Linked DNA regions of Anolis sagrei. The protein of the gene in region 2 purifies or fractionates together with the protein of the main gene of each other region. This does not show direct contact. Links are inferred from orthologs where the notes say so. Each region holds a gene or a part of one and is shown on either strand. Other genes may lie near its edges. The genes, in order: CDK5RAP2, PRKACA, GPR161 and AKAP7.

What was found.
Region 1: the proteins of PRKACA (region 2) and CDK5RAP2 purify together in Homo sapiens (affinity purification with mass spectrometry; 6 studies listed by BioGRID and IntAct, with this or other methods). This does not show direct contact. The link is inferred for Anolis sagrei from reciprocal best matches to the Homo sapiens genes PRKACA and CDK5RAP2.
Region 3: the proteins of PRKACA (region 2) and GPR161 purify together in Homo sapiens (affinity purification with mass spectrometry; 3 studies listed by BioGRID and IntAct, counting the BioPlex papers as one, with this or other methods). This does not show direct contact. The link is inferred for Anolis sagrei from reciprocal best matches to the Homo sapiens genes PRKACA and GPR161.
Region 4: the proteins of PRKACA (region 2) and AKAP7 purify together in Homo sapiens (affinity purification with mass spectrometry; 4 studies listed by BioGRID and IntAct, with this or other methods). This does not show direct contact. The link is inferred for Anolis sagrei from reciprocal best matches to the Homo sapiens genes PRKACA and AKAP7.

What each region holds. Positions count from the first base shown.
Region 1 is NC_090031.1:14,494,219-14,501,576, forward strand, and holds the start of CDK5RAP2 (CDK5 regulatory subunit-associated protein 2), read right to left. Parts: upstream 3,015-7,358; 5' UTR 2,801-3,014; coding exon 2,748-2,800; intron 1-2,747. UniProt on the Homo sapiens protein: Potential regulator of CDK5 activity via its interaction with CDK5R1. Negative regulator of centriole disengagement (licensing) which maintains centriole engagement and cohesion. Involved in regulation of mitotic spindle orientation.
Region 2 is NC_090022.1:112,796,777-112,804,713, reverse strand, and holds the start of PRKACA (cAMP-dependent protein kinase catalytic subunit alpha), read left to right. Parts: upstream 1-4,928; 5' UTR 4,929-5,438; coding exon 5,439-5,628; intron 5,629-7,937.
Region 3 is NC_090023.1:41,704,656-41,712,290, forward strand, and holds the start of GPR161 (G-protein coupled receptor 161), read left to right. Parts: upstream 1-4,627; 5' UTR 4,628-4,657; exon of another isoform or gene 4,658-4,683; intron 4,684-4,805; exon of another isoform or gene 4,806-4,899; intron 4,900-5,624; exon of another isoform or gene 5,625-6,142; intron 6,143-6,820; 5' UTR 6,821-6,861; coding exon 6,862-7,232; intron 7,233-7,635. UniProt on the Homo sapiens protein: Key negative regulator of Shh signaling, which promotes the processing of GLI3 into GLI3R during neural tube development.
Region 4 is NC_090021.1:82,614,078-82,621,848, reverse strand, and holds the start of AKAP7 (A-kinase anchoring protein 7), read left to right. Parts: upstream 1-4,770; 5' UTR 4,771-4,832; coding exon 4,833-5,067; intron 5,068-7,771. UniProt on the Homo sapiens protein: Probably targets cAMP-dependent protein kinase (PKA) to the cellular membrane or cytoskeletal structures.

The DNA.
Region 1 (7,358 bases), on a different chromosome or scaffold from region 2:
AAAATGACGATTCTGGAGGATGGCCACTATTTTCAAAGTAAGAACAGCACAATGAAACAGGAGTAACACTGTGTTGTCAAAGGTTTCATGGCTGGCATCAATGGGTTGCTGTGAGTTTTCCGGGCTGTCTGGCCGTGTTCCAGATGGCAAGCTATTTAACCTCAGCAGACTGAAAGCCAAAACCAAGATTACAACAACATCCGTTATAGAACTCCAGTACGCTAATGACAACGACGTCTGTGCGCATTCAGAAGAAGACCTACAAGCTACTCTACACATCTTCGCAGAAGCTTACGAGAAGCTTGGCCTGTCATTAAACATTGATAAACCAAAGTGCTCTTCCAGCAGTCACCAGCCATCCCCTCTCCAATGCCAGAAATACAGCTTAATGGTGTAACATTAGAAAATGTTGACCATTTTCGCACCCTTGGCAGCCACCTCACCACAAAAGTCAACATCGACACCGAAATACACCGCCTGAGCTCTGCGAGTGCAACATTTTTCTGAATGAAGCAGAGAGTGTTTGAGGACCAGGACACCCGTAGGGATACCAAGGTGCTTGTTTATAAAGCTATTGTCCTCCCAACCCTGCTATATGTCTGCGAAACATGCACTGTCTACAGACGTCACATGCAAGTCCTAGAATGATTCCATCAGCGCTGACTCCGAAAAATCCTGCAAATCTCTTGGGAAGAGAAGCGGACAAATGTCAGCGTGCTGGAAGAAGCAAAGACCACCAGCACTGAAGCGATGGTCCTCCGCCATCAACTCCGCTGGACCGGCCACGTTGTCCGGATGCCTGATCACCGTTTCCCAAAGCAGTTGCTCTACTCTGAACTCAAGAACTGAAAACGGAATGTTGGTGGGCAGGAAAAGAGATTTAAAGATGGGTTCAAAGCCACCTTAAAAACTCTGGCATAGACACTGAGAACTGGGAAGCCCTGGCCCTTGAGCGCTCCAGCTGGAGGTCAGCTGTGACTAGCAGTCCTGTAGAATTTGAAGAGGCACGAATGGAGGGCGAAAAAGAGAAATGTGCCAAGAGGAAGGCTCATCAAGCCAACACCAACCAGGACTGTCTTCCATCTGGAAGCCAATGTTCTCACTGCAGGAGAACATGCAGATTAAGAATAAGGCTCCACAGTCACCTACGGGCCCACCGCCAGTACACTGATCTTGGAAGACAATCCTACTCGGACAATGAGGGCTCATCTAAGTAGGTAAGTAAGCTATGGACAAGTCTACACAGCTGTGGACAAGTCTCCAGCTTGAGGTCAGCTGTGACCAGCAGTGCTGCAGAATTTGAAGAGGCACGAATGGAGGGAGAAAGGGAGAAATGTTCCAAGAGGAAGGCGCGTCAAGCCAACCCCAACCGGGACCGTCTTCCACCTGGAAGCCAATGTTCTCACTGCGGGAGAACATGCAGATTAAGAATAGGGCTCCACAGTCACCTACGGACCCACCGCCAGGACACTGATCTTGGAAGACAATCCTACTCGGACAATGAGTAAGCTATGGACAAGTCTACACAGCTGTGGACAAGTCTCCAGCTGGAGGTCAGCTGTGACCAGCAGTGCTGCAGAATTTGAAGAGGCACAAATGGAGGACAAAAGAAAGAAACATGCCAAGAGGAAGGTGCGTCAAGCCAACCCCGAGGACCGGGACCACCGTCCACCTGGAAACCAATGCCCTCACTGTGGGAGAAGATGCAGGTCAAGAATACAACTCCCTTGCTGCACCAGCTCCACTGGCTGCCGATTTGCTACCGGGCTTAATTCAAAGTGCTGGCGTTGGCCTATAAAGCCCTAAACGGTTCTGGCCCAAGCTACCTATCCGAACGTATCTCTGCCTATGAACCCACCAGGACTTTAAGATCTTCTGCGGAGGTCCTGCTCTCAATCCCGCCTGCATCGCAAGCATGGCTGGCGGGGACGAGGGACAGGGCCTTCTTTGGTGGCCCCTCGGCTGTGGAACGCCCTTCCCATGGACATTAGATCAGCCCCTTCGTTAATCGTGTTTTGAAGAAAACTAAAAACCTGGCTGTTTGAACAGGCGTTCAGATAAATAGTGCAATTGAACGATGAATATAGGAACGGATTTATGGATGACGAATTGGATCACGATTTTAGTTACGAGATGCTAATGTGTTGTTATTGATGTGTCATTATTTGTATACTAGGCTGTTAAGGGTTTTAAATATTGTATGTTGTACGATTGACTTTTTTGCTCTTGTTGTGAACCGCGTTGAGTCGCCTACGGGCTGAGAAACTGCGGTATACAAGCAAAGTAAGTAAATAAATAAATAAGAAATAAGAATAGGGCTCCACAGGCACCTGCGGATCCACAAGAATACTCGGCCAACAAAGGATAGCCTAAGTAAGTACCAGTAGTATTGTATTATTATATTGCAATATTATTATTGTTATCTATTATTATATTGTATTATTAGTTTCATATTCTATTACATTATATACTAAAAGCAAACCAATCCAAGTCTCAGGTAGACTGTGCCTGTGTCTGGACGCTCTATTGTATAATACTATGTTACTCTCAGGTAGACTGCGCCTATGCCTGGAGGCTCTACTGAACCCATTTCCCTTCCCTTGGAAAGACTTCTCTTCTCTCACGCCTGCTTCTTTGTCCTCCGACTGGAATTCAGTCTTGGGCCCGAAGGAGTTAATTCCCCCCTCCCCCCCCCCCTTTTTCGCGGCCTAGCGCCTTTTGAGGGCCAAACCCGCCCTCGTCCTCACCTGCCGTTGAAGCCCAAGGGCAAGGTGGGGTCCTCCGCCGGGAGGGAGTCCATGGCGGAGGGAGAGAGAGAGGGGACGAGAGCGGGCGGCTGCGGCTCCTCCGCCGGTGGCCCGGGCTGCTCTGCTCCCGACTTTGGCGGCGGGCTCGGAATTCAAACCGCCACTCAGCCCGACGCCATCTTCCCGAAGCCAACGAAGCCGCCCTCAGAAGGGCAGCCGCAGACCGCCTTAGGCCGCGTGCCCTCTTCCCTCTCCAGAAACGCCTCGGGCGCCATCTTTGTTGAGGGAATCGATGTGGCAAAAGTGGGCGGGGAAGGAGGAGGGGCTCGAGAATCATAGACTCACTGAAACATAGAGACCACCCTGTCCAACCAGGAAAAGTACAAAAGGGTCCCTGACAGATGGCCATCCAGTCTAAATAATTAATAGTAATAATAGAGTTTTAGGCAATCAGCTCTCTATAATCCGCTGTGGAGCTGAGCGCCATTTTGGAAAAGCCCGTCGGCCATCTTGAAGCCGACGCAGCCGCCCTTGAAAGGGCAACTGCACTCAAGGGTAGGGCGAGCTCTTTCTTTCCTGGGGGAATTGTTCTTTGAGGGTGCTTCGCGCGCCATCTTTGTTGAGGGACTCAGGGATGCCAGGGGAGGGGAGGCCCGGATGTTGGAAGCGCCTGCGCAGTGAGCGATAGGAAAGGGCTAAGGACCGCCCCTTCACAGCCAGCTGAATGTGAAAAGAGCCATTCTTTCCTTCATACGCCTTCCCCTTCCTTCCTTTTCTTCCATCCTTCCTTTTCTATTTCCTTCTTCCATTCTTTCCTTCATACACCTTCCCCTTCCTTCCTTCTTCCATTCTTTCCTTCATAACCTTCCCCTTCCTTCCTTCCTTCCTTTTCTATTTCCTTCTTCCATCCTTTCCTTCATACACCTTCCCCTTCCTTCCTTCCTTTTCTATTTCCTTCTTTCATCCTTTCCTGCATACACCTTCCCCTTCCTTCCTTCCTTCCTTTTCTATTTCCTTCTTCCATTCTTTCCTTCATAACTTTCTCCTTCCTTCCTTCCTTCCTTCCTTCCTTGCTTCCTTCCTTCCTTTTCTATTTCCTTCTTCCATTCTTTCCTTCATAACTTTCTCCTTCCTTCCTTCCTTCCTTGCTTCCTTCCTTCCTTTTCTATTTCCTTCTTCCATTCTTTCCTTCATACACCATCCCCTTCCTTCCTTCCTTCCTTTTCTATTTCCTTCTTCCATTCTTTCCTTCATAACTTTCTCCTTCCTTCCTTCCTTTTCTATTTCCTTCTTCCATTCTTTCCTTCATACACCTTCCCCTTCCTTCCTTTTCTATTTCCTTCTTCCATTCTTTCCTTCATACACCTTCCCCTTCCTTCCTTCCTTCCTTTTCTATTTCCTTCTTCCATTCTTTCCTTCATAACTTTCTCCTTCCTTCCTTCCTTCCTTCCTTGCTTCCTTCCTTCCTTTTCTATTTCCTTCTTCCATTCTTTCCTTCATAACTTTCTCCTTCCTTCCTTGCTTCCTTGCTTCCTTCCTTCCTTTTCTATTTCCTTCTTCCATTCTTTCCTTCATACACCATCCCCTTCCTTCCTTCCTTCCTTTTCTATTTCCTTCTTCCATTCTTTCCTTCATAACTTTCTCCTTCCTTCCTTCCTTTTCTATTTCCTTCTTCCATTCTTTCCTTCATACACCTTCCCCTTCCTTCCTTCCTTCCTTTTCTATTTCCTTCTTCCATTCTTTCCTTCATACACCTTCCCCTTCCTTCCTTCCTTCCTTTTCTATTTCCTTCTTCCATTCTTTCCTTCATAACTTTCTCCTTCCTTCCTTCCTTCCTTCCTTGCTTCCTTCCTTCCTTTTCTATTTCCTTCTTCCATTCTTTCCTTCATAACTTTCTCCTTCCTTCCTTCCTTCCTTGCTTCCTTCCTTCCTTTTCTATTTCCTTCTTCCATTCTTTCCTTCATACACCATCCCCTTCCTTCCTTCCTTCCTTTTCTATTTCCTTCTTCCATTCTTTCCTTCATAACTTTCTCCTTCCTTCCTTCCTTCCTTCCTTCCTTTTCTATTTCCTTCTTCCATTCTTTCCTTCATACACCTTCCCCTTCCTTCCTTCCTTCCTTTTCTATTTCCTTCTTCCATTCTTTCCTTCATAACTTTCTCCTTCCTTCCTTCCTTCCTTCCTTCCTTGCTTCCTTCCTTTTCTATTTCCTTCTTCCATTCTTTCCTTCATAACTTTCTCCTTCCTTCCTTCCTTCCTTGCTTCCTTCCTTCCTTTTCTATTTCCTTCTTCCATTCTTTCCTTCATACACCATCCCCTTCCTTCCTTCCTTCCTTTTCTATTTCCTTCTTCCATTCTTTCCTTCATAACTTTCTCCTTCCTTCCTTCCTTCCTTGCTTCCTTCCTTCCTTTTCTATTTCCTTCTTCCATTCTTTCCTTCATAACTTTCTCCTTCCTTCCTTCCTTCCTTGCTTCCTTCCTTCCTTTTCTATTTCCTTCTTCCATTCTTTCCTTCATACACCATCCCCTTCCTTCCTTCCTTCCTTCCTTCCTTCCTTCCTTCTTCCATCCTTTCCTTCATAGACCTTCCCCTTCCTTCCTTCCTTCCTTTCTTCCTTCCTTCTTCCATCCTTTCCTTCATACATCTTTCCCTTCGTTCCTTCTCTATTTCTTTCTTCCATTCTTTTCTTCATACACCTTACCCTTCCAAAGTGCTGGCTTTAGCTTATAAGTCCCTAAACCAATGTTTCTCAACCTGGGGGTTGGGACCCCTGTGGGGGTTGCCGGGGGTATCAAAGGGGTTGCCAAAGAACATTAGAAAACAAGAGTACTTTCTGTTGATCATGGCAGTTCTGTGTGGGAAGTTTAGCCCAATTCTATCGCTGGTGGAGTTCAGAAGGCTCTTTGATTGTAGGTGAACCATAAATCCCAGCAATCAGTGATGGATCTGGACCAAACATGGCACCAATACTCAATATGCCTAAATGTTAACAGTGGTGGAGTTTGGGGGAAATAGACCTTGACATTTGGAAGTTGTAGTTGCTGGGATTTATAGCTCACCTAAAATCAAAGAACATTCTGAACCCCACCGATAGAATTGAGCCAAACTTCCCACACAGAATCGCCATGACCAACAGAAAATACTGTGTTTTCTTATGGTCTTCGGAGACCCCATTAATAGCCCTCTTGTGATCCCTTCAGGGGTCCCGACCCCCAGGTTGAGAAATGCTGGCATAGCCTCTGGAGACATCTCCCCCAAGACTACCTCCACCGGCCTATTGGAAGCCAGCTGGGAGGAGATCCCCGCCTACGTCACCACTGCTTCCTCCAATCAGGGTGTGCACCGGCTAGGACCTGCCTCCTGACCAATCAGAGGCCTGGAGAACGCCAGCTGGCTTCTCAGCGACAACCAATCAGGGGAAAGGGAGGGAGTTTCAAAACATAGCAATGTTGATTCATGAGAATCTTCATGTATAAAAATGCCTGTTTATGGTTATCATCCTTTTACACTTGTCCCCTTTGTGCAGATTGACAGAATAAAGTCTCTGTCATTTGCCTTCAACCTGTTGAGCTTCCCGATTCCTGACTCAAAACATCCTTGGATAGTGAAGCTTGCCAGGCATCCCTCGGGATCCGCGGTGCTTTGAAAAACCGCCAATTTTCAGCATCAAAGGGTCTGTGGGCCAGATTTGGTCCAGATCCACTAATCCATGAAGGAGCCATTGTGGGACAAACCAACATACATACATACCTTGATTTTTAGCTTCCTCTCTCTCTCTCTCTCTCTCTCTCTATATATATATATATATATATCAATTTTTCTTCAATTTTTTAGCCAGTTGCTTGAGTGTTCCAGTTAACTGAGATGAATATTTATGTATGATTATGTCGTACTGCCGAGACCTGAAAGAGGGGACGGTGATGGTATCATTTTGAAGCAGTTAACAAATTTGCCCAGCGACGCTAATCGGATTGGCTCTTTTTGTTGAGTCTTATCTTAATGAGTTGTCCATTTCAGGCGATTATTAAGCCCCTCTTAAACCGGGAAATTGCAGCCGACGACAGCAAAAGTTCAGCGTCTGGGCATTGTTTGTCTGTTTGGAAGGCAGGTTCAGCCACGAAAGGCCAGCATCTGTGGGTCGGGTGGAACGAGTCGAGAGCTGGGAAGGAATGCTTTTAGGATTAGGATTAGTGCATTGCAGATACAAGCAGATGCTGTCTGGCTGCTGGCAAAATTGGAGCTTTCCTTGGATCCCCTTCCCAACACCAGCCTTTTCCATTGCAGTTTCTGTGGGTTCTCCTTTTTATGTATTTTTGCCTATCCTTTTCTCTAACCTGGTGCCCTCTAGGACAACGGCTGGATCCGTACTGACATATAATGCAGTTTGGAACTGCATTATATAGTCAGTGTAGACCCATATGATGCAGTTCAGTGTAGTTGAATTACATTATATGCATTGGCACTGACCCAGTAATGCATTGTAAGGGTCTACGCTGTCCCTATAGTGCATTACATGAGTCAACACTGATCCTATAATGCATTATATGAGTCTACACTGTCCCTCTCAAGCATTATATGAGCCTACAGTGACCTATAATGCATTATATGAATC
Region 2 (7,937 bases):
CAATACACAAATTTACCATATAATGTCAACAATTATAACTAACTAAAACAGTCAAACAATATACTAGCAGCAATAAAATCATCTTATGGTTAATGTTAGCCAAATCATAGTCCGTAATCCATCTAGCATCGTCATTATCCTTTCCTGCTCTGGTCGTCATTGATTGTCTTTTTCCATCTGCCAGCTTACCCGAAGGCCTGGTTCCACACCCAGGTTTTTAGCTTCCTTCTGAAAGCAAGGAGGGATATTGATGACCTAATCTCCCCTGGGAGTGCATTCCACAGGCGAGGGGCCACCACCGAGAAGGCCCTGTCCCTCGTCCCCACTAGTCTCGCTTGTGATAAAGGTGGGGCCGAGAGCAGGGCCTCCCCAGCAGATCTTAAACTCCGAGGTGGGACGTAGAAGGAGATATGTTCGGACAGGTACGCTGGGCCGGAGCCGTAAAGGGTTTTGTAGGTCAAAACCATCACTTTGAATTGGAAAGAAGTCAAAAGTTAACTATGCTGTAAGAGGAACTATTTAGGGAACTTATAGGGGTAGGAATTATAACGTATAGATATCATAGTGAGCAGAGATGAAAGTCCACGATGGGTGGGGGGGGGGGGGTCGAGAGAATGTGCTATCTACGATGTATGTCGCTGTTTTTGTATGTTGCGTGCTTTATTTGTTAATATATATCACTGTTTTTATTTTGTGTTTAAATAATAGTAAAATTTTAAATTAAAAAAAGGAATTGGGTTAAAATATGATTTTGAACAAATGGTCTTGCATGTTTCAGTTGAGAAGCATGCCTCTTTGCTCAATTTATAACTTCTATATTTCTAAATGTTTTAATTCTGAGGTAAGTATCCTAGGCAGGTCAGAACTGCCGCTATCAGATTGCTGTTTCAGCCATTCATTAAGAACAAAGTTTCATAACATCCGCTTAATCAGAGACACATTCCTAGCATCTAAATGAAGCTGCACTTATTAGTAGAATAGCTAACGGTGATTAGAAGAATAATCTGGCTAAATGTTTCGCCGTGTTTCAGATGTCCATAATTTCTTAATACATTTTTTCAGAGCGGAAGAACTTTAGTACCCAACGTTCCCAAGTTCTGATATCCTGTAAAAAGACAGACAGTGTTGTGACAGCCTAGTCAGTAGAGTTGGCAGAGGATAAGATGATGTATGATCCACTATCCATCTTACGTAATGAGAAAATTGATGCCATTACCTATCAAATTGGTACAGTTGAAAGGTGACAATGTTGAGATGAGCTTGGAAGTGATACTTCAGCTTTAAAAACATAAAGGCATTTCTCATTTTTAAATAGAGCTGATGGCTCTGCAGTTGGACTTCAACTGCTCCTTGGGATGTCATGCTTCAGGACAGGTCAGTTCCATGCAGCAGATAAATCAAGTATGGAATTATGTTTCCTGAAGTGTACTTCTCTTAGTGAAAGCTATTTCAGACTGGATATTAGCAACTAGATTTGTTTGTGTGTAAAGGAGGTAAGACAGATTTGATGCTGGTTAGTCAAACAAAAACATCAAAGATTCAGCCTATGATTATAGATGTTACATTCCCCTTAAAGTTGCATGTCTGTATCTTGGGTATACAATTGGCCCTCCACATCCACAGATTTAACCATCTATGGCTTGAAGATATTCTTTAAAATCCATTTTATGTAATAGATACAATTTTACTACACCATTATATATCTTGGAACTTGAGCATCTACAGAGTTTGGTATCCATGGGGGGGACCATCACCTATCAGATATCAAAGGTCCACTGTATTTTTGTATTTAACCCTGAGTCTGGAAGCTCAGGTTTCTGTGGTTCATAGGAGTGGGTTCACACCCAGGCCTTGAAGCAGGACAGAAATAACGTTCCCCCCTCCCTCTTTCTTTCCTCCCTCCCTCGCTCGCCACTGTTGTGGACCATCTTCATTGCTGACTGACAACATGGAGGCTCTGAACGTCTTCAACCAGGAACTTTTCTCACTGATGGAGATGAACCTCTTATTTCCCATGCAAAGATGTTTCTCATCACTAAAGCTGCAATTAATGCTATTAAGCTTTATAAGTATGTAGTCCGGATTATAGGGAAGTTTATAAAAAAATATAAACCAGAATATAAAGTCCCTGGATTATATATAATTCACTCAATTGTTCATAAGTCTCCTCATAAGCTTGGAACAGACAAGAACATTTTTGGGCCAAGATTTTGTAAAAATGTAATTGCCACATTTATATTTATATCTTTGCTCATCAGAAGATAAGAGTAAGATAGATTGTGTCCTCAACCTATGACAGAAAAATTGAGTATTTTAAATAGAAATTATCCAGCATAGGAGTACATTTGCAGTTAATGCGTGTGCATTCCAGTTAACTTTAATGTCTCTAGTTAGGCCTTGACTTGCTGGTTTTCATGTCCACAGTTGAAGCAAAGGACTATCAAATTAGGCTAGAAGCATGAAAGTTAGAAAAACTTGCTGAGATGGTAGAGTGCTTCAAGGACTCTTCTGTCTGCCCTATCTTGTTCCGCCCCTTGTCTTCTTACACAACCACTCCTTTCTGCTGCTCTGGCTAGTTGCATTTATTCTGGCAAGCTCATTAGAAAATATTTTAAGCCTTTTTGCTGAACCTGCCAGAGATTTACCTCCTGAGATGACAAAACATTCACCTGATCTAATGAGGCTTCACCTGCACAGTTTTAACCCTCTGTTGTCCCTTTGGGAGTGACAATGCCCTTCTTTTAATGCCAGAAATCAAGGCTTTTGGTTCTAAAGAACTAGGAAGGCTGCAGATTTGGCTATTGTGTTCTGTCTCTTGAGTATTTGATTTTCAGTATTGCCTGCAAGTGAAAGAATAGGAAATAAGAGGGCTGCCCCTTGCTTCAGTCCTATCTCACCCTACCTGTTTTGAGCTAAGTTGATTTACTTGACTTCAGCAATGGGAAGGGGAGCCAGTCTGGTTTGCTGACTGAGCGTTAGACTATGATGCTGGAGATCAGGATTTGAATCCCTGCTCGGCCTTGAAAACTCATTGCATGAACTTTGGCAAGTCACCCTTTCTCAGCCTCAGAGGAAGACTAAGACAGACTTCTTCTGAACAAATCATACCACAAAAACCACTTGGTAGGGTTATTTTAGGGTTGCCCCAAATTGGAAATGACTTGAAGTCACATAACACAACAACAGTGTGAAGCCACAAATCTGCACTTTTCCTATTTTGCATATAGAAATGACATTGACTGTATCTTACTGAGAGCAGATTGATTAAATAGATACTAAACAATTTAGTGTGAATGAACATTGGAAAATTCTGTCTTTCTGTTACTCAAGGCAGGACAAAAATCACTAGGGTATTCAAGAATTGCCTTCCAATATATTAAATTTTGACGTATTTTCTAGTCTTGTGACTGTTGTGTCTAACAGGGTCAACCACTGGCATTGAAGCAGTAATTCTCTTGCAATCATGTCTGATTGTTCTTAGAGGAAGTGAATATAGTCTTGCCTTATGATCAGAATGACATTATTTTGTTGGCCTGTTGTGCAGGAACCTGGAGACTGCTGAACTGTCATGAAGCAAAACAAATCTGCTTTAATTAAGCATTCACAGTGTCATTCCCAATGTGAATGCATCTCCAGTGACAACCAGCCATCTACCTGTTCACAGTGCTGAAATGGTTGGGGAGTGTGCAGTTTCATAACCAGATGGGATGGTTGTTTGCAGAGTGAGAAGTCTGTCCCTTTAAGGGCTTCCTGGAAACCTGGCACTATGCCTAGCCCCTTCTCTTTTTCCCACTTCAAGGCTGTTCCTTTGGGGCTTTTCTTGAAACAATACTGCAGATTACTCTGCCACTGTTCTTGCTGTCCTTATGTAGAAGTGGAGCCTTGCCCTCCGAACTGCCTCTGAATTTCCAGCCAGCTACGCTTTGAGGAAGGAGAGTTGTAGTGTTGGAAGAACTGGTAGTTGGAAGAACTGGTGATGGGGGCTTTAATTTGTCTCAACACTGAAAATGTAAGAAGCAGAGCTGTCATCTGGAAAGAGTGACATGGATTCTGAGTCCAACAATCCTCAAACTATGTGGGAAGGCAGCTCCGATTTCCAATTTTGGACCCAGCTTTTCCTATGGATGCACTTGCTTGGTCGGCTGGTCAGTTACATCTTGCATCACTTTGGGGGCTAAAGCAATAACCGTACTGCCGTGTTTGGATTCCTGTCCTAAATATACATTTCTTTGGCAAATAATCCATATGAGAAAAAGATATCTGGCTTGTACTTTCTCCTTCTCTTTTCCACCAACTCATTTCTTATTTATTAGAAGAGGTTTCATTTACCAGTGGCTTCTTAACTTTTGGATGGAGGCAAAGCAAAGGTTAAGTCACTAGAAGTGAGCCGTTATTTTCATTCCTGATCTTTGTGGGAAGATTATGGACTGTGCAGCTATGCACACTTTTTGTGCACATTTGGAAATGTTTTATAAATAGATTCTACAGATCATTATAACAATGAATGATATTTTGCAAAAGAGTGTTTTGCAGCCTTAACATTTAGGGAGAGGAAGTGCCCATCACCAGAAAACATAGCATCTGAACAAGCTCTTCTTTTGCCTCTGTCTTACAGACTGTATCTGTCTTGCCACACTATAGGCCAAGCTTTTTGAGTTGGGGTGTGGTCATTTCATTGTGTTAGCTGACTAGCTCTGTCTTCTGAAATTCTTCTCCCTCTTTTGCATTGGAGGATCACCCTGTGTTGTGGGGGTTTCCTACCTGGTGAGAGCCTTATTTGCCCTACCTTCAGGCCTGAGGGTGAAAGGGATTCAGAGAATCTCTGAGCTATTTTAAGCCTTATTGCGTGGCCCTCACTACAGTTGATCTGGCAAGCCTGCCTGCCTCCCTCCCTCCCTCCTTCTGTATTAATCAAATCTGCCCGCTGTTCACCCTCTGACCAGCTGTTTAAGTGACCAGGCTGCCCGTGTTTGTTGCTGAATACACAGAGACTATGGACTGGGCAATGATGGACCTTTCCTGGACATCGTGGGAGTTGGGGAATCCTGGTATGCACATGGATGGCTGCCCTGGAGAGCTGCGTACCAGTTGCTGAACTGTCATGAGTGTTTTGGTCCAGCGAAGTCATTTTGATGAAAATTCTCTCCCGGTTAGAAGTCGCAAACAGTTTGTTTGAGCCAAGTGCTTGTCTCAATCAGTTGGACAGGAATGTAAAGAGCTCTGCTGAGTCTGGGCTGTGTCTGCTCTCCTGTTGCTGCTTTCAGCCTTCTCTTCCTGCAGCAGGACAGAAAGAGGGTTGTGTCTGTCCCAATCTTCTTGCAAATGGCAACGACTGGGGCAAGTGCTCTCCTAGACCCTGACGGAGTGGCCTCACTCTGTTTGATGTGAGAGCAGAGCTGGAGCAGGCAAAGAAACTGGTGATTAAAATAAAGGGAAACATGAACCATGGAGCTGAGGTGAACTCTCGAAACTCCAGCAAGAACAAAGGGTGTAAGATGTCGGCGCTACAGAAACTGGAGAATCTGGCTGGCCGGATCTTTTACTGGGGCCCACGGAGTGATGCAGGGCTGCCTGAATGTGGAAACACAGCCTCTGAATCAGAGCACACGGCTGCTTGGAATGAGCAGAGTGAGTTGACAATAAAGCATGGCTTCAAGGGGTCTAGGGATGGGTGTAAGGTTCCCTGAATCTCTCCTCCCAAAATTAATCTGTACAGAACAAAAGCAATTGCTACTGTTCTCCTTATGCATGTCTTGGCAGCTGAATGTGGATCAGGTCAGTGAAGTAAGCTGCTGTTTGTTGCCAAAGAAAATATCAGATGTGATATGCTATTCTGATAGACATTTTGGTTGTGGCTACTGTCCATTCAGTTATTCATGCTAGGCTATGTTTTGAAGTGCAGGTTGCTTCCTTTTAGGGACACCAGAGCTGGGGAAAAACTGCTTTTTTGTTTACAACTCGCAGAATCCCCCAGCCATAGAAAATTATCATTTCTCAATGACAGAAGGGCTCCCTAGTGTGTGGCTATGATTTTAACCTCCCAGTGTTTATCAAGCATGACCATTGATCCAACTCTGCTTCACTGCTGGCCACTAAATGATTTAAACACTGACTTTAGTGGCTCTTCATTGCATACTCTATGTCTTAATTTGTCTATTTCAAGTATGACAGTCTGTATAAAAAAGGGATTACTTACTGAAATGACATAGGAGACTAGCTTAAACTGTAGGAAATGTACTAGTAATTCAGCAGCCATTTTGATGTGAGTAAAGCCATGGGGTAGAGTTGGGTGGGGGTGGCAGAGAGAAGGTGAATAATGGCAGGAGTGCCATCTATCCTGGAAACCATTTCCCTGCCTCACCCGTTTCCCTTTCCAGGCAGAAAGTTTTGGGAAGGAGCAAGAGATGACACAGGGAAATAATGTCTAGAGAAAATGCCTCTTCCCTGCACTTATCTGTTCTTTCCTACCCCTACCCAAAATTTATTATGGTAGAAGTGGGAAAACTTGGCCTTCCAGGTGTTTTGGGACAGCAACTTCCATCAGTCCTAGCAAGTTTAGTTTCTGTGCATTTGGCTGTGATGTGCATTTTGGGCTACACTGGTAATATAGAAAAATATACAACTTGGACTGCAGAGAATAAGGATAGTGAAGCATACCGAGATGTCCTGCCATATTTGGGGGAGAATGTCAGTTTTTTTATTCCAGCTGGCAGATAAGGTAGTATTTAAAAAATCCAATGTCTTCCTATACTCTTTTATTTTTGTGACCATTTTGCAGCCTTACCTGTGGATGTTTCTCACTTGGTAAGGGAGACCTTTATTTTTCTTCATATTAAATGCCTAATCAGACTTGGGAATTCCCGTCTCCAGCTGATAGAGCTTTGTAATGACACACATAGACTGGCCATTATTGTTTTAGCACTTTCCACTACTAGCTGAGACTATGGTTTTGATTCTTGACTTGGTGAACGGTTGTATTTTGATTCCCAGAGCACTCTATTTCAGGTTTTGGGTCAGAAATAGAAAGTAGACCTTTGCATTGTCTGCACTATACATTACTACCTCACAGCAGCAGAAGAGACTAAATGCAATCTGATTTTGGATCCTCAAGTATGTTTAAACAAAGCTGTGACAGTAAGTTTTGGCACTGCTGCATGGCCTAAAATAGAAGCTTGTACAACATCTGATGCCAGATTCCTCTTTGGCCTTGTTATGCTTTTGGCGTTGGCATCTCTTCTCAGTGCTGTGTCCGGTCTGTTGCACAAGAAGAGAAATGCTCAGAACCTCTGACAATCTTCTTCTTCAGAAAGTTAAATCTAATTATGGGAGCTAGGCACAATATTATAATACAATAACTTTATTTTTGTACACTGCCTCCATCTCCCCGAAGGGACTTGGGGCGGCTTACACGGGGATGAGCCCGATCAACATGGTGAAGATACAGCACATTAAAATATCTCAACAACAACATAATATAAAACAAAACAAAACAGAAAAACAACATTATAACAAAATATAAAAACAAAACATTAAACCAGTAATGAATGAGATCTGCGATAATAATCAGTTTCTGGGCATGAGTGGAGGGACTGGTGCACAAACAATTGTGAGGATAGGGCTGATGGATAAAGTGCATAGGTCATATGGCAGCAATAGAGATAGGGGTTAGTATACGATAGAGCATTATAACTTTGGGTATAGAACAATAGTAAAGTGCGAGGACAAGATTGTGGGTCCTAGCTGAGGCCAAGCTATCAGGGAGATTGTCTAGTCAAAAGCACAGTGCAACATCCACAGCTTTAGATCTTACCAGCATTTTCTACCTAGCTCTTTGTCAAAGGACTTGATGATAAAAACAATTGCGCTTCCACATGTATCACTGTAAAAACATTTGAACCTTCCAGTTTTCATTAGTAAAAGAACGATGACCAATCCCT
Region 3 (7,635 bases), on a different chromosome or scaffold from region 2:
AAAAGGGAGACAACTTTCATTCCAAAAATCCCACTCTTCTTCTTTTAACATTGCAAGCAATACAAAAAGTATTTTGTATAATAATTAAAATGATCAAAGTATTACAGAAAAAGCTTCCATTAAATTATTTTATATTTATGCATTTCAGTTTCTATTATAGGTTCTGAAGCTTTATTTGCTTTTTTCATGTTGTTATTATTTTTTATTATTTAAATTATTTCTCTTTGATTACTTCCTCAGTACTTCAACTGTCCTTTTGCTCTTTTATTTTTTTCTTTCTTTCATGGATGTGATGTCCTTTGGAAGTTTGTTTAATGGCCTTTTAGACTTCCTCCGCATAAACAAGAATTCACTTTTTTTTAAAAAAAAATAAGAATTATATGCCACCGGGGGTTGCAGGTGGGGAGGAATCAGGATTTTAGAGATGCTTACATGGGGCATGGCCAAAAAAAGTTTGGGAACCACTGCCCTAGAGAATCCTAGAGAGACCATATCAACCCACAAATGAATCCACAATGTTAAACCTGCAAATGCAAAAGGCTGAATATAAGTAGTGTTAGATTATTTGGTTGATGAACCATTTGTGCTCTTCAGTCTATTTCTGAAGAGAGGGTGGAGAGAAAGAAAGTGGGAAAGAAACCAGCTGTTGTTCTTCCTACATAACTCTGTGGTTAGTGTCTGCTAGAGGCTGACCACAGACTACAGCAAAATATCTAGCGGTTTCTAGGGAGATCATTTTAATCAAATCCATGAAGAATTCAACCTGCAAAAGTCAAACCCACAAATTGGTGGGTGGGGGAGAAGCTTTACTCCTACTGAGAAAGACAAAAAAAAATCAATATAGTTAGACTCAGACCCCTTTCTGGATCTCTGGGCCTCGGTAATTTACATCATCACCACAACATCAGATTTAGCTGGTTTCAAGAGTCTATTCCATTATTATCAGTGCATTATCTAACCAACTGTGTTGTGGATAACTAGGTCTGCTGATAAAATGATCTGTGCCCGGCTAGTGCAAGCTAAACCAAATGTGCCAGGACAGAGAAATACTCACCAGGTTGAAGACAAAACACAGAGGTTTATCCAGTTCAGCCAAAAGGGATGCAAATACAAGCAGATGCTTCAAAGTGTAGAAGCGTAAAACATACAGAGAATGCAAGAGATCTTATAAGGTTTGACAACTATTCAAAATTCCCACTCCTTTCCCTGATTGGCTGAGAGAGGGGCTGGTCTGGATCTGAGACCTGAATGGCTGAAGGTGCTGCTGATGCTGCCTTCAGGTTGTGATTCCCTATCATGGGGAGATGACAGCTTGGAGTTGGTCAGCCGAAGAACCAAACAGCTGGTGGGGTGTCCCCTGGTAGGAGACGTCATTTGTGAAGACAATGTTTAAATAAATGATACTAAGCTCTTGATTGGCTCAATAGTCCAGTTCTGTGTTTGACAAAGATAGGGGTTTCTGCAGTCAAAGACATGAGATTCCCAAAACAAAGGTGATGATCTTGGGCATTCACAGTTTGGGCTGTCAGTCAATAGGTTTAACAAATGTAATAATCATCATCATCATCTTTATTTATACCCCGCCACCATCTCCCCAAAGGGGACGCGGGGCGGCTAACATCAGGCCAAGCTCAAAAATAATACAGCAAAGTTGGACACAAAACTACAGAAAAAGTTACATCAAAACAAAATAAATAAAGTAACAAATTAAAATAAACAGTGCAAAATAACATAATAAAATCAAATAGAAAGGGTGGGCCAAATGCACGAGATAAAATGTTAAAACGTTAAAACCCTGGGTGAGATAGGAATAAAAAGTATATTTGTGAGGGAGGAGTCCAAGAAAGGGGAGCAGTGAGGTTTGGCTTTATTAAGGACAGGGGGAAAGTGCATCATGAGGACAATTATAGATGGAAACAAACAGAATGGGTTGAATGTACACACTCTAAGCATCTCTTTCCATGGTCAGCAATCTCTCAGCCTCAAGTGAACCATTTAATCAGACAAATACCTCTTGGCTTATCTGGGCTGACATGGGAAACTATCTCTGTATACATGAACAATTGATTCTGATGATTGCCTGTCTGCAAAACAGCCAGAGGGATTTGCCCAACCTTCCAGTGTTTGGGAAGTGGCTCTTTGGAGTTATATAGAGGTGATTTTTCTCTGGCTACATCTTGCTACATTTTATATGGAAAAGTATACATTTTATATAAAAGAAATAGATATTGTATACAGAAAGATACAATTTACACAGATAGTCAGGGGAAAAGTGACTGGCTTGACTCTGAAGGAGTTGGGGGTGTTGATGGCCGACAGGGAGCTCTGGCGTGGGCCGGTCCATGAGGTCATTAAGAGTCAGAAGTGACTGAACGAATAAACAACAACAGCAAAGTCAGGAAAAAATAGGCATAATTTATTAAAGGGTTGGAACTATAAAGTCTTTGTGGGGGTGAAGCTGCTGTTGGTCCATTTCCGATCTCCACCGCTTCGCACCAGCAAAGTTCAAAGAAGTTAAGAAATTTCATAAACTTGATAAACTATTAATCTTTTGGGAGGAGGGGCATTGTGACTCGACAACTGTACCCTTCTTTCTGAAGTTCTTCCCAGATACAATCTTTGTTCTGCCTTTCTAATACATCATGTAATCTAAACAGAGAGTGAAATGTTGTTTAAAGTTAGCTATATAGATCATGTTACTTGGGATTAAGGAGAGGAAAGGATCACATGTTCAAATTAGTTATTTCTTAAAAGTTTATAGAGGAAACCAAGCAAGATGATAAACAAATTCTATTGTTAGCACCCAGTAGAATAGACTTTTGAGCCAATAATAATTTGGTTTTAAATGCCATGCTTCAATGGGTTAGTTCTAAGTTATGGTAACAAAAGGAGGTATTCCAAAATGTGTGGCTTTTAACTGTTCTTTCCTTGCCAGTGATCTGACCATCTTTACATACACAATAATAATCCAGATTTCCTTTACCAATCCAATGGCAGCATATTCAAACACTGAGCGAAAGTGTTATGGTCTGGGTTTTGGGGTAGAAGACATGTTTATCATACTTGTCAACATTTCATAGATAAAAATAGTGATTTCTTTCCCTGCAGCTAGCACTGTGTGACTACACATATACCTCCTTTTTCCTTCAGGCTTCTTTCCATCTGCTCTACATTAAACCAATCGTAAACAAAAAGGAAACCTGTGGAATGTTTATTCTTACAGTCTGATTGTAATGACTGTAGAAAAATTGCAGCTCCAATATGTTCAGTAACATTTACTACTGTGAGAGGCCAATGGGATAGAATAAGGGAGAGCACTGTAATTCTTTTACCTGTTGATGTGCACTTCTTGTGGACTGAAGTAAAGTTGCATCAGTGGTCCCCACCTGTCATACATTGCACTCTCTTTCCTCCTGAAGACAAAGAATGGAGAGCTAATGTAAGGATTAAATCAGTTTTATAACCTGAGGCTAATGCTGGCCACACAGCATTATAACAAATAGTTGTAATGTCTTATGACCATGTTTTTCAGCTGCTTTGAGTAATATAACACACACACACACATACAGTATATATATATATAGGCCCCTTGGTGGCGCAGCGGGTTAAACCACTGAGTTGCTGAACTTGCTAACTGAAAGGCTGGGGGTTTGAATCCAGAGAGTGAGGGGAGCTCCCACTGTTAGGCCCAGCTTCTGTCAACCTAGCAATTTGAAAATATGCAAAATATGATTAGATCAGTAGGTACCACTTCTGCTGAAAGGTAACTGTGCTCCATGCAGTCATGCTGGGCACATGACCTTGGAGGTGTTTATGGAGAACATTTCATCACAGACTGCCCTTCGACCAAAGAGACCTGGCAAAAAGTGGCCATCGTCTTTGACTGGCCGGACTTGGTGCTCCAACCTGAGGAAACAGTGGTCTCTGTAATGGAGCTGGAAACCAGGATTCGGGGGCCACGTCGACACCAAGGAAGGAAGAGGAAGAGAGGACCCAGCAGGGGGACACTCAGGAGGCCTTTTGGGATGTTTCTTGGACAATGACAAAATTGATCAACTTGTACGTTCTCCTGGCCCTGGTTTTCCAGAGATGTCAAGAACCTCTAGTGTAAATTGGGTAGCAGAGAAAATAGGAATGAAGCCGGATGCCCCCTAACTGATGGAAAAAGTTCTGGCCCTGGCTGGCAGAGACCACATCTGGGATGACCTGAAGGGTTGTAGGTTTTATATAGATAGATATAATTGATAGGTAGGGAGCCACTGGTGTAGATTAGCCCTCAGCCATCTTATGTGGAATTCCAGGTAAGGGATGCTGGGCATATAATGTGGGGGGGGGGGGGGTGTTCTCATTCTGGCACCACCCAGATGGCAGGAAACTCTGCCAGTGGGGATGGAAACTGAAGTGTGTTCCTCATGCCACTGGACTCGCGGGCTGCCGCTGAATCCCAAGCGCTGCCTCCTGCCCTCCCATGGCCATTCCTTCGGCCGAGAAAGAGCTGGCCTTGGAGAAGAACAGCAAAAATGAAGGAGGGCCAGAAAGGGAGATGAGGTGTAAAAGGGCCAGGAATGCCGGGGGAGGAAATGCTGCCTAAGTCGGCTGCTTTGGAATTGGCGGCCGACTTTTCCCAGCAAGGCGAAGAAGACGAGCCTCCCGCCAAGTGAGCGGGTGGAGGAGCCTTGCAAGGCAAGGGAGGAAGGAGGAAAGGCATCGGGATCCTCTTCTCGGCCCGCCGAAGAGGCCCAAAGTTGAGGGGGAGAAGGAGGGAGAGGAGAACAAAGGAGCGGAGGAGGGGAAGAGGGGGAAGGGGCGGCGCTGGGGGAGCTCCGTGGGCGGCGGCGCTGGTGGGGGGTCCCGGGAAGAGAGCCCGCTCCCGCAGCAAGGCAGCCCCCGGGACACACGGTGAGTGGCCTCGCACGGCGCCCAAGGGGGAGGCTGGGCACCGAGGAGGAAGGAAGGGGTTCGCCCGGAATGGAGCGCCATGCCCCACCTCTGGAGGGGAGACTCGCGGGAAGAGAGGGCCTCCCGTTTCGGGAGGGAAGGAGAAGGGGCTGCCTGTGTCCGACCCCGAAGAAGAGGAGGAAGAAGGAGAAGAAAAGGGGGAAGGAAGAGAAGGAGAGAAAGAGAAGGGAGGGAGAGAAGAGAGAAAGAAAGAAAGAGAAGCGGGGAAGATAGAAAGGGAAGGGAGAGAAAAACAGAGAAGAAAGGGAGAGCGAGAGGAAGAAGGGGGAGAGAGAGATTGAGAGAGAGAGAGAGAAGGGAGGAAGATAAAGAGAAAGGGAAGGGAGTGAAGGAGAGAAAGACAGAGAAGGAAGGAAGAGAGAAGGAAGGGAGAGAAAGAAAGATTGGAAGATAGAGAGAAAGGGAAGGGAGAGAAGGGAGAGAGAGAAAGGAAGGAAGGAAGATAGAGAGAAAGGGAGAAAGAAAGAGAAGAGAGAAAGAAGGGAGAGAAAGAAGGAAAGAGAGGAGGATAGGAAGGGAGGGAGAGAAGGAGAGAAAGGGAATGGAGAGCAAGAGAGAAAGACAGAAGGGAGGAAATGAGAGAGAAGGATTGGAAAGAGAGGAAGAGAGAAAGGGAAGGGAGAAAGAAAGAGAGGAAGAGAGAAAAAGAGGGAGAGAAAGGGGAGATGGAGAGAACTACAGAGAAGGGAGGAAGAGAGGGAGAAGGAAGAAAGAGAAAGAAATAGAAAAGAAGAGGAAGATAGAGAGAAAGGGAGGCAGAGAAAGGGAATGGAGAAAGAAAGAAAAGGGACAAAGATTGAGAAAAAGAGAGAAAAGGAAGAGAGAGAAAGAATGAAAAGAGGAAGTGAGGAAAAAGGAAAAGTTAGGGGAGAGAGGAAGGAGGAAGAAGGAAAAAGGAGGAGAAGGAAGCAGAAGGGAGAGGAAAGGAAGATGAGGCCCTTGAAATAAAGGCCAGCTTTTCTCAGGGCGCATCTACATTGTAGAACAGGCATGGGCAAACTTGGGTCCTCCGGGTGTTTTGGACTTCAATTCCCACAGTTCCTAACAGCCTCAGGCCCTTTCCTTTTCCCCCTCAGCCACTTAACCCAAGTTTGCCCATCCTTGTTGTAGAATGAGTGCAGTTTGAAACCACTTGTCTCTGTGCCATGGAATCAGGCTTCCAGTCTTCCAGACATTACAAATAGTGAGTCAACCGTCCCTGTGATATCCAGCAACAGGGAAAAGAACAGCTGAAGGAGTTCTAGGCTGCATCCACCAAATTATAGTGTCCAGATCAAGAGAAAGGACACTTTATTTGGCTTGTGTCCAGTTCTGAGCACCAAAGTTTAAGTTTGAAACTTGTGCGAGGTCCATAGGAGATGCAACTAAGATTACAAGGGGCATGGAAACCAAGGGTCATTTCACACCATACAGTTGTAATGCTGGGATTCCACTTTAACAACTACTGTTCCATCCTGTGGAATCCCAAGTTTTGCAGTTTCGGGAGAAGCTTTTAGAGTTTTCAGTGGGATTGTGCTCATGTCTCTTCAAGCTGCAAATCTCAGAGTCCCAGAGGAAGGCAAAAAAAAAAAAATAGAATCATAGCAGGGTAGTATGAAAAGAGTCCTATGAGCGATGGGCATATTTAACTGGCAATGAAGTGATGTGTGTGGGGGGAGGGGGGAGTATGTGGATGGATTGCTGATCGCACATATCATGTATCAATGAAGCATTGATCTAGAATACACCAAAGAGCCCTTCCCCACTGGCTGCACTTGATGATATGTAATGATTTTAAACCAATTAAAGATAGAATGTAAAATTATATCATTTAGAAAAGCACAGTATTCGAATGATACCTGTGTTTTTCTTCTTTTTCCAGGTGCCCAGCATGTCCTGGCTGTCCATCTTCCGTACGCTCTGATGATGAGCATCAACTCCTCTCTCAGCCACAAGAACGCCTCAGGGAACCTTACACTTCCAGAGAATGGAGTAGGCAGAATTACAGAGTCAATTGCAATTATTGTCATTGCCATCTTCATCTGTTTAGGAAACCTGGTCATTGTCCTGACCCTCTACAAAAGGTCATACCTCCTCACACTCAGCAACAAGTTTGTGTTCAGCCTGACTCTATCCAACTTCCTCCTTTCGGTACTTGTGCTTCCTTTCGTTGTGACCAGTTCCATTAAGCGAGAATGGATCTTTGGCGTCGTTTGGTGCAATTTTTCAGCCTTGCTGTATATGCTGATCAGCTCTGCCAGTATGCTCACGCTCGGACTCATTGCTATCGACCGGTACGCAATGTTTTTCAATAGAAGCCACGTGTCAGTGAGCAACAATGAAGTCTCTGTCTTATCCACCCATTCTGAGAGATAATGTGATTCAAAAAACCCAGTATAACCATGTCCTTAAACTAAATATTATGAGGACCTGTTTCCTTTTTCATGCCTATGTGCAGGTAGCAAAGCATGATTGAACTGATATGTCTTCTGTTAGGTCTCAGAAGCTGCTGTAAAAAAAATAGGAAGTCTAATCATTGGCCTGATGCAGCAGGCTATTCATATGTTATAAGTACAGGTTAAGTCTCCCGTATCTGACACACTTGGAACCAGAAGTATTTCAGATTATTCAGATTTTGAAATATTTGTATTGTAATGTATTTAAAAACACAAACAAAGTTAACAATTTGGCATTATG
Region 4 (7,771 bases), on a different chromosome or scaffold from region 2:
TCTTGATTTCTAGCAACTCTCCTTACACTGAAATGAAATTTGCTTATCACTTTCATCAGCAACATCATACATATGTATAACTTATTGTAACTTTATCTGTGTCATTCCGGCCTGTATTCTATATCTTCTTTAACCTATAGATTGCCACCACCTCTAGAACGACGTGCCCTTCTTTGTCCTTTGTTTACAGTTTGTATTAATATCAGAAGGCTTTCTCCTTTCCACCAGTTTCTCCTTTCCACCAGCTTAAATCCAGGCATTCCAGTTTCTCTTGTGATTACCGCTCCCAACAACACCTGTGCCAAAATGTACTACAAAGGTTGAGCGCTCGCTGGCACTACCCACACAAAGTACATTTTCTGTCTTCACACCAGGCTGGCAAACAACGCTGTGTCCTGCACCTGACAAATCAATTTCTGGGTTTCAAGTGATCAAAGTGCCACAAATATAAACCCGACAGACACGTCGTTCTGTTGTAGAGTGTGCAAAACAAACTATAGTGATCTGTCACTCAGTACTTTTTCGCACCCATGTGATTGTTGGATTTTTCATTTTTGTTTCACCCGAAACCATGTCAAGCATTAGATGCTTAACAAAAACCATGATCTGATGGGATAGTTTTATATCCAAAAATCTGGTGCCAACAATCTTCCCCAGAGGGTTTTTCATCCCTCTAGAACAAGTTTTAGGTCACATGAGGGACTGCCAATTGCGGCAGAAGCTTCAGGCTTCTATTGAAACACGTAATTGGAACCTGGGCAAAAAAAGTGGAAACCCTTAGTTCCTCCGGCCAAATGATACAGAATAGAAGCCGACCTACTTTCAATATGTAATTATGTAAAAAGTGGAACCTTTAATGTTCACTGTAAATATTAATCTTCATCTGCTTTGGCCCTTAAAAGTTCTAGACAGCTTCAAGGTCCAACTGGTCTTACAACATTCTGTAGCAGAACACCTGTTTTGAAGCTAGATAACAAACCTGTTCCATTTGTTCTGAAAGATATAATCCTCATCTCAAATCAAGCATATATTTAAAAACCCTGCAGCCCATTTAGTTGAACGGAAGAAGTATGCGTTCTGTTGAAGCTTCGTATCCATAGATTCAGCATTCATGAATTCAACGTACCAGGCTGTGGCGTAGCTAGTTAGTAGCCAGGTGCATTAAAACACTACTGACAGAAAGGTCATGATTTCAAAGCCAGCCCGGGTCGGAGTAAGCTCCCGACCATTAATAGTCTAGCTTACTGTTGACCTATGCAGCCCAAAAGAAAATTGCACCTGTCAAGTATTATTATTATTATTATTATTATTATTATTATTATTATTATTATTATTTTATTTGTACCCCGCTAGCATCTCCCAAGGGATTCTATGCGGCTTACAACAGGCCAAAGCCCACACAATATAACAATACAGTACCTAGCAAATAAAACAGTTAAGCAAGAACAATAACAATAGTAGTACAACAAGACATTATTAAAAACTGAGCCGGCCAGTTTTACTACCTAAAGTAGTAAATTTAGGTACCGTTGTATGCAGGGAGGCTAAGTTAACTAAGTTACGATGCCATAAAACCTTCCAGCAGCATGCAGGAGAATGAGGAAGTACTCCATCAAAGGACCCGGTGTCACAAGTGGATGGTGAAGCGACAGCTTCCCCCTGTGGCCGGAATCGAGCATACCCTCATGAAGCCAGAAAAGCTGGAATGTTAAATGGCCTCTGTGTCTGTCTATATATGTTGTATGTCAAAATGGCATTGAATGTTTGTCATGTATGTGTGCATTGTAATCCGCCCAAGGTCCCCTGTGGGGTGAGAAGGGCGGAATAAAAATACTGTAACTAAATCAATAAATAAATATCCACAGCGTGAAAATATTCAAAGAAAATAAGGGGAAAAAATCCTTGTTTTTGCCATTGTATATAAGGAACACCATTTACTACATCATTGAATGTGATGGAACACACATTCATAGATCTTGGGGTCCTGGAACCAAACTCTGTGGATACCAATGGTCCGACTGTAATCCAAACTAAATTAATTTTAACAATTTAAAGAGTTACAGCGACACAAATGCATAAGATGGAATGGAATGTAACTGCAACGCTGTGAAGGTCTCTCAATTCAAAATAATAGAAAGAACCCTTCAAAATGGCCATGTTAAAAACAATCTAGGGGCTATCTTTGTGTAACTGCTGATTTCATCTGCTTTGTGTGTACAAAACGGATTAAATCACTCTAATTTCCACCTCATTTCCTTGTGACTGAAAGTTTTGCACTTCTGGAAAAATAGCTCCTCCTTTCTCTAAGGTTTTTTTCTCTCTCCCTGGAGAGAACATCCTTTGCAGAAACTCTTAATTGGTTCCATCTGTACAGTTCAGCCTCTTTCCAGTATCTTATTAACTCCTTCCCTTCCAACTTAGGTTTCTAATATTGTTACCAGATGTATTGTCAGTTTTATTAATACTGTAGTATGAGGGCAGTATGAGGTGCAGCAGGTTAAATGGCTGAGTTGCTGAACTTGCTGACTGAAAGGTTGGTGGTTCAAATCCAGGGAGCAGGGTGAGCTCCTGCTGTTAGGCCCAGCTTCTGCCAGTTTGAAAACATGCAAATGTGAGTAGATCAATACCTTCTACTCACTTCTACTTGCCTTCTGTGGGAAGATAACAGTGCTCCATGCAGTCATGGCCACATGACCTAGGAGGCGTCTACAGACAATGCTGGCTCTTCGGCTTAGAAATTGAGATAAGCACCACCACCCCTCCCCCCCCCCCCCCCCGAGTTGGACACAACTTGAGTTAATGTCAGGGGAAAACCTTTACCCTTTTATGGGGGCAAAATGATTGCCCACACAGAAAATGCAGAAAGCTGGACAACGTGAGCTATTTAGGCTTAGGCTCAGTGTCAACAAAGGCTGTACTATTCAGAGAGAGAGAGAGAGCAGCTGCAACCCAGCTCCCCAGAACCAATGCGGGTGCAGCTGTTTGGGAGTCAGCTGTATTAAAATTACTACTGACTGAGAGGTCATGAGTTCGAAGCCAGCCTTAGCTGGAGTGAGTTTCTGGCCATTTGTCTAGCTTGCTGTTGACCTTTGCAGCCTGAAAGACAGTTGCATCTGTCAAGTAGGAAATCTAGGTACAGCTTATGCGGGGAGGCTAATTTAACTAATTTAAGATGCCATAAAACTCTCCAGCAGCTTGCAAAAATGTGGAAGTACTCCATTGGTGTCACAAGTGGATGGTGAAGCGACAGCTCCTCCGGTGGCCAGAATTCAAAAAGCATACACTCATGAAGCTGGAAAGTTAAATAGCCTGTGTCTCTGTCTATATATGTAGCGTGTCTATGGCACTGAATGTTTGCCATGAATGTGTGCATTGTGATCCGCCCTGAGTCCCCTGTGGGGTGAGAAGGGCAGAATATAAATACTGTAAATAAATAATAAATAATACATGCACATCTGCACTATAGAATTGATGCAGTTTGACACCACTTTTAACTGCCAGGGTTCAATGCAATGGATCCTGGGATTTGTAGTCTGGTGAGGCACCAACGCCCTTTGGCGGAGAAGGCGAAAGACCTTGTGAAACTACAATTCCAGGATGCTAAAGCACTGAATCATAGCAGTTAAAGTGGTATCAAACTGTATTAACTCTATAGTGTAGATCAGGCATGGGCGAACTTGGGCCCTCCCTCCAGGTGTTTTGGACTTCAATTCCCACAATTCCTAACAGCCTCAGATCCTTTTCCCTTAAGCAGAAAGGGCCTGAAGCTGTTAGGAATTGTGGGAGTTGAAGTCCAAAACACCTGGAGGGAGGGTCCAAGTTTGCCCAGGCCTGGTGTAGTTTATCCCTGGAAGACAAAAAGTGGGGTTTGCAACCCTGTGACCACAACACCCCAGATCAAATTGTGATTCAATATTAAATTTGTAGTTCTGATTAAAGATATATACATCTTAGAATCATAGAGTTGGAAGAGACAATAGGATTTTATCCTTATCAGTCTCAGATAGAATAGAATCATAGAATCAAAGAGTTGGAAGAGACCTCATGGGCCATCCAGTCCAACCCCCGCCAAGCAGGAAAATTACATTCAAAGCACCCCTGACAGATGGCCATCTAGCTTCTGTTTAAAAGCTTCCAAAGAAGGAGCCTCCACCACACTCTGGGGCAGAGAGTTCCACTACTGAACGGCTCTCACAGTCAAGTTCTTCCTCATGTTCAGATGGAATCTCCTTTCTTGTAGTTTGAAGCCATTGTTTTGCGTCCTAGTCAGGGCAGCAGAAAACAAGTTTGCTCCCTTCTCTCTATGCCTTCCCGTCATATATTTACACATGGTCATCATGTCTCCTCTCAGTCTTCTCTTCAGGCTAAACATGCCCAGCTCTTTAAGCCGCTCCTCATAGGGCTTGTTCTTCTGGACTTTGATCAGTTTAGTCGCCCTCTGGACACATTCCAGCTTATCAATACCTCCTTTCAATTGTGGTGCCCAGAATTGGACCCAGTATTCCAGGTGTGAAGAACAAAGAACAAAACGGATTAAATCTAAAATATTTTTAAAATACAGTATTTAAACCAATACTCTTGAGCAAATAACAGCTGTGGGGGATGTCACATCTTTAAAGGATTGATCTATTTGGGGAGAAGGTCCGCATTTCGGTATTCCTGCGAGGAAGGGCGGGGGAATTTGAAAGGAGTCGGTTTTGCACACGGCCCCACCACTTGCATTGCATCATGGGATCCGTAGTTCCCCCACAGCGGCCATTCCACAAGGACGCGTTTCTAAATCTCTTTCTTGGCCCTTCCGGCGCCCCGTAGCAGGAGCAGCTTCCCTAGCTATGGCGCTGCGTTTGTTGCTCCGAACCCTGCGCGCCTCCTGCCTCGCCGCTCCGCCTATTGGTCGCCGGATCCCCCTTTGCTCACCAGCGCCCCTGGCGGCCGGGCGAGGAACGGCCAGCTGTAGGGCGTTCCGAGAACGCTGCCTTCTATTGGCGGAACCTCAGAGGCTGGCGATGGAGGGCGAAGCGGGAGAGGAGGAGCCGCCTGTCCTGCCTGCGACCAGCGGGCAGACCGGTGAGGAGAGAGAGGAGAACGCGGACAGCCCCCTTATTCGTCCCCCAAAGAAAGGGCGGTGGAGGGAGAGGAAGAAAGGACCTTGAAACCCAGATCTGGCTCAGTTTTTCCCAAAGCCTGGCCTTCCTTGTGTTTTGGACTTCAACTCCCAGAGTCCCTGCTCGTTGACTCCTACAGCTGAGGATTCTGGGAGTTGAAGTCCAAAACAACCCAAAGGACTAGCCTTTGGGAATTGCTGTGGAATTGATGCAGTTTGACACCCCTTTCACTGCCTTGGTTTGAGGCTATGGAATCCTGTCAGTTGTAGTTTTACACGCCTTTTCTGCCAAACAGTAAAACTACAATAAAACAAGGGCCCGGTCCTATTCAACATCTTTGTTAATGACTTAGATGAAGGCTTGGAACAGGGATCCTCAAACTTTTCAAGCAGAGGGCCAGGTCGCAGTCCCTCAAACTGTTGGAGGACCGGATTATAATTTGAAAAAAACATGAATGGATTTCTATACACACTGCACATATCTTGTTTGTAGTGTAAAAACACTTTAAAACAATACAATAATTAAAATAAAGAACAATTTTAACAAATATAAACTTATTAGTATTTCAGTGGGAAGTGTGGGCCTGCTTTTGGCTGATGAGATGCCATTGTTGTGTGATTTCAGGTTGTTTCAGACTTAGGGTAAATGCCCTTGGGGGGCCATATCCGGCCCCCAGGCCTTAGTTTGAGGACCCCTGGCTTAGAAGGCATGATCATCAAATTTGCAGACGACACCAAATTGGGAGGGATAGCCAATACTCCAGAAGACAGTAGAATACAAAACGATTTTAACAGATTAGAGAGATGAGCCAAAGCTAATAAAATAAAGTTCAACAGTGACAAATGCACGATACTCCACTTAGGCAGAAAAAATGAAATGCAAAGATACAGAATGGGGGGGGGGGGGGTGCCTGGCTTGAGAGCAGTACGTGTGAAAAAGATCTTGGAGCCCTCATGGACAACAAGTTAAAAATAAGCCAACAATGGGATTTTGGCCTGCATAAATAGGAGTATAGTGTCTAGATCCAGGGAAGTCACGCTACCCCTCTGTTCTGTCTTGGTTACACCACACTTGGAATATTGTGTCCAGTTCTGGGCACCACAATTCAAGAGAGATATTGACAAGCTGGAATGTGTCCAGAGGAGGGCATCTAAAATGATTAAGGGTCTGGAGAACAAGCCCTATGAGGAGCAGCTTAAAGAGCTGGGTTTCCCTTGTCCCCCCACTCTTCTAGTAAATGTTGAATAAAAAAAATCAGGGAACACTCACTCTTGCTTTCTCCATGGCCACATTTGTTGATGTCTGCATGAAGACATCTGCAATGGCTAGGAGCACTCCAGATATCTGACAGCAGTAATGGGGGATGGTTAGGTGACAGTCCAGCATTTCTGCTTTGGATTGGTCCTGCAATTAAGCAATCGGTATAGATGAGCCCATGGTTAGAACCAAACTATGTGCTTTGCATGCCTGACAGCTGACAGTTGGATTACTCCAGACTAGATTATGGAGGCAATCTGTACTTTGAATGGTCAATAGTATACATGATAGCTATGTATAAATGTGTGAGAGGAAGTCATTGGGAGGAGGGAGCAAGCTTGTTTTCTGCTGCCCTGGAGACTAGGATGCGGAACAATGGCTTCAAACTACAAGAGAGGAGATCCATCTGAAAATTAGGAAGAACTTCTTGACTGTGAGAGCCATTCAGCAGTGGAACTCTCTGCCCCAGAGTGTGATGGAGGCTTCTTCTTTGGAAGCTTTTAAGCAGAGGCTGGATGGCCATCTGTCGGGAGTGCCTTGAATTTGATTTTCCTGCTTCTTGGCAGGAGGTTGGACTGGATGGCCCTTGTGGTCTCTTCCAACTCAATGATTCTATGATTTCTATGATTCTAATACTAATAATAATAATACAATATTATAATTATATATTTTATATTACATGTAACATTACTAATAATATTACAATATAATGGTGTAGTACAGTATAGTAATATATAATACTGATATTGTATTATGCTAATAATATATTGTATATATATCTTGTAAGCCACTCTGAGTCCCCTTTGGGGTGAGAAGGGCGGTATATAAATGTCATAAATAAATAAATAAATAAATACAATTGGTAAGATTGCCTAGCATTGAGCCATGGCAGTGAAAGTGGTGTCAATCTGCACTATTTCTACAGTATGGATGCACCCCTCTTTCCTTTAGAGCAGTGGTTCTCAACCTGGGGTTCCCAGGTGTTTTTGGCCTACTACTCCTAGAATTCCGAGCCAGTTTACCAGCTGTTAGGATTTCTGGGAGTAGAAGGGCAAAACATCTGGGGACCAACCGGTTGAGAACCAGTGCTCTAGAGAAGAATAATAGGCAACCTATACACATGATATGAAGGTCATTTTATACATATTTCAAATATGTATAAAATACATATTTCAAATAATTTGTCACATGAAAAGTGTGTGTACATAGAAGCTTAGAAAGCAAAGATGCCAATGTGTTGTCGAAAGTTTTCATGGCTAGAATCACTGGGTTGCTGTGAGTTTTCCAGGCTGTATGGCATTCTCTCCTGAAGTTTCACCCACATCTATGGCAGGCTTCCTCAGAGATTGTGGGGTCAGTTGGAAACTAGGCAAGGAAGGTTTATATATCTGTGGAAGGTCCAGGGTGGT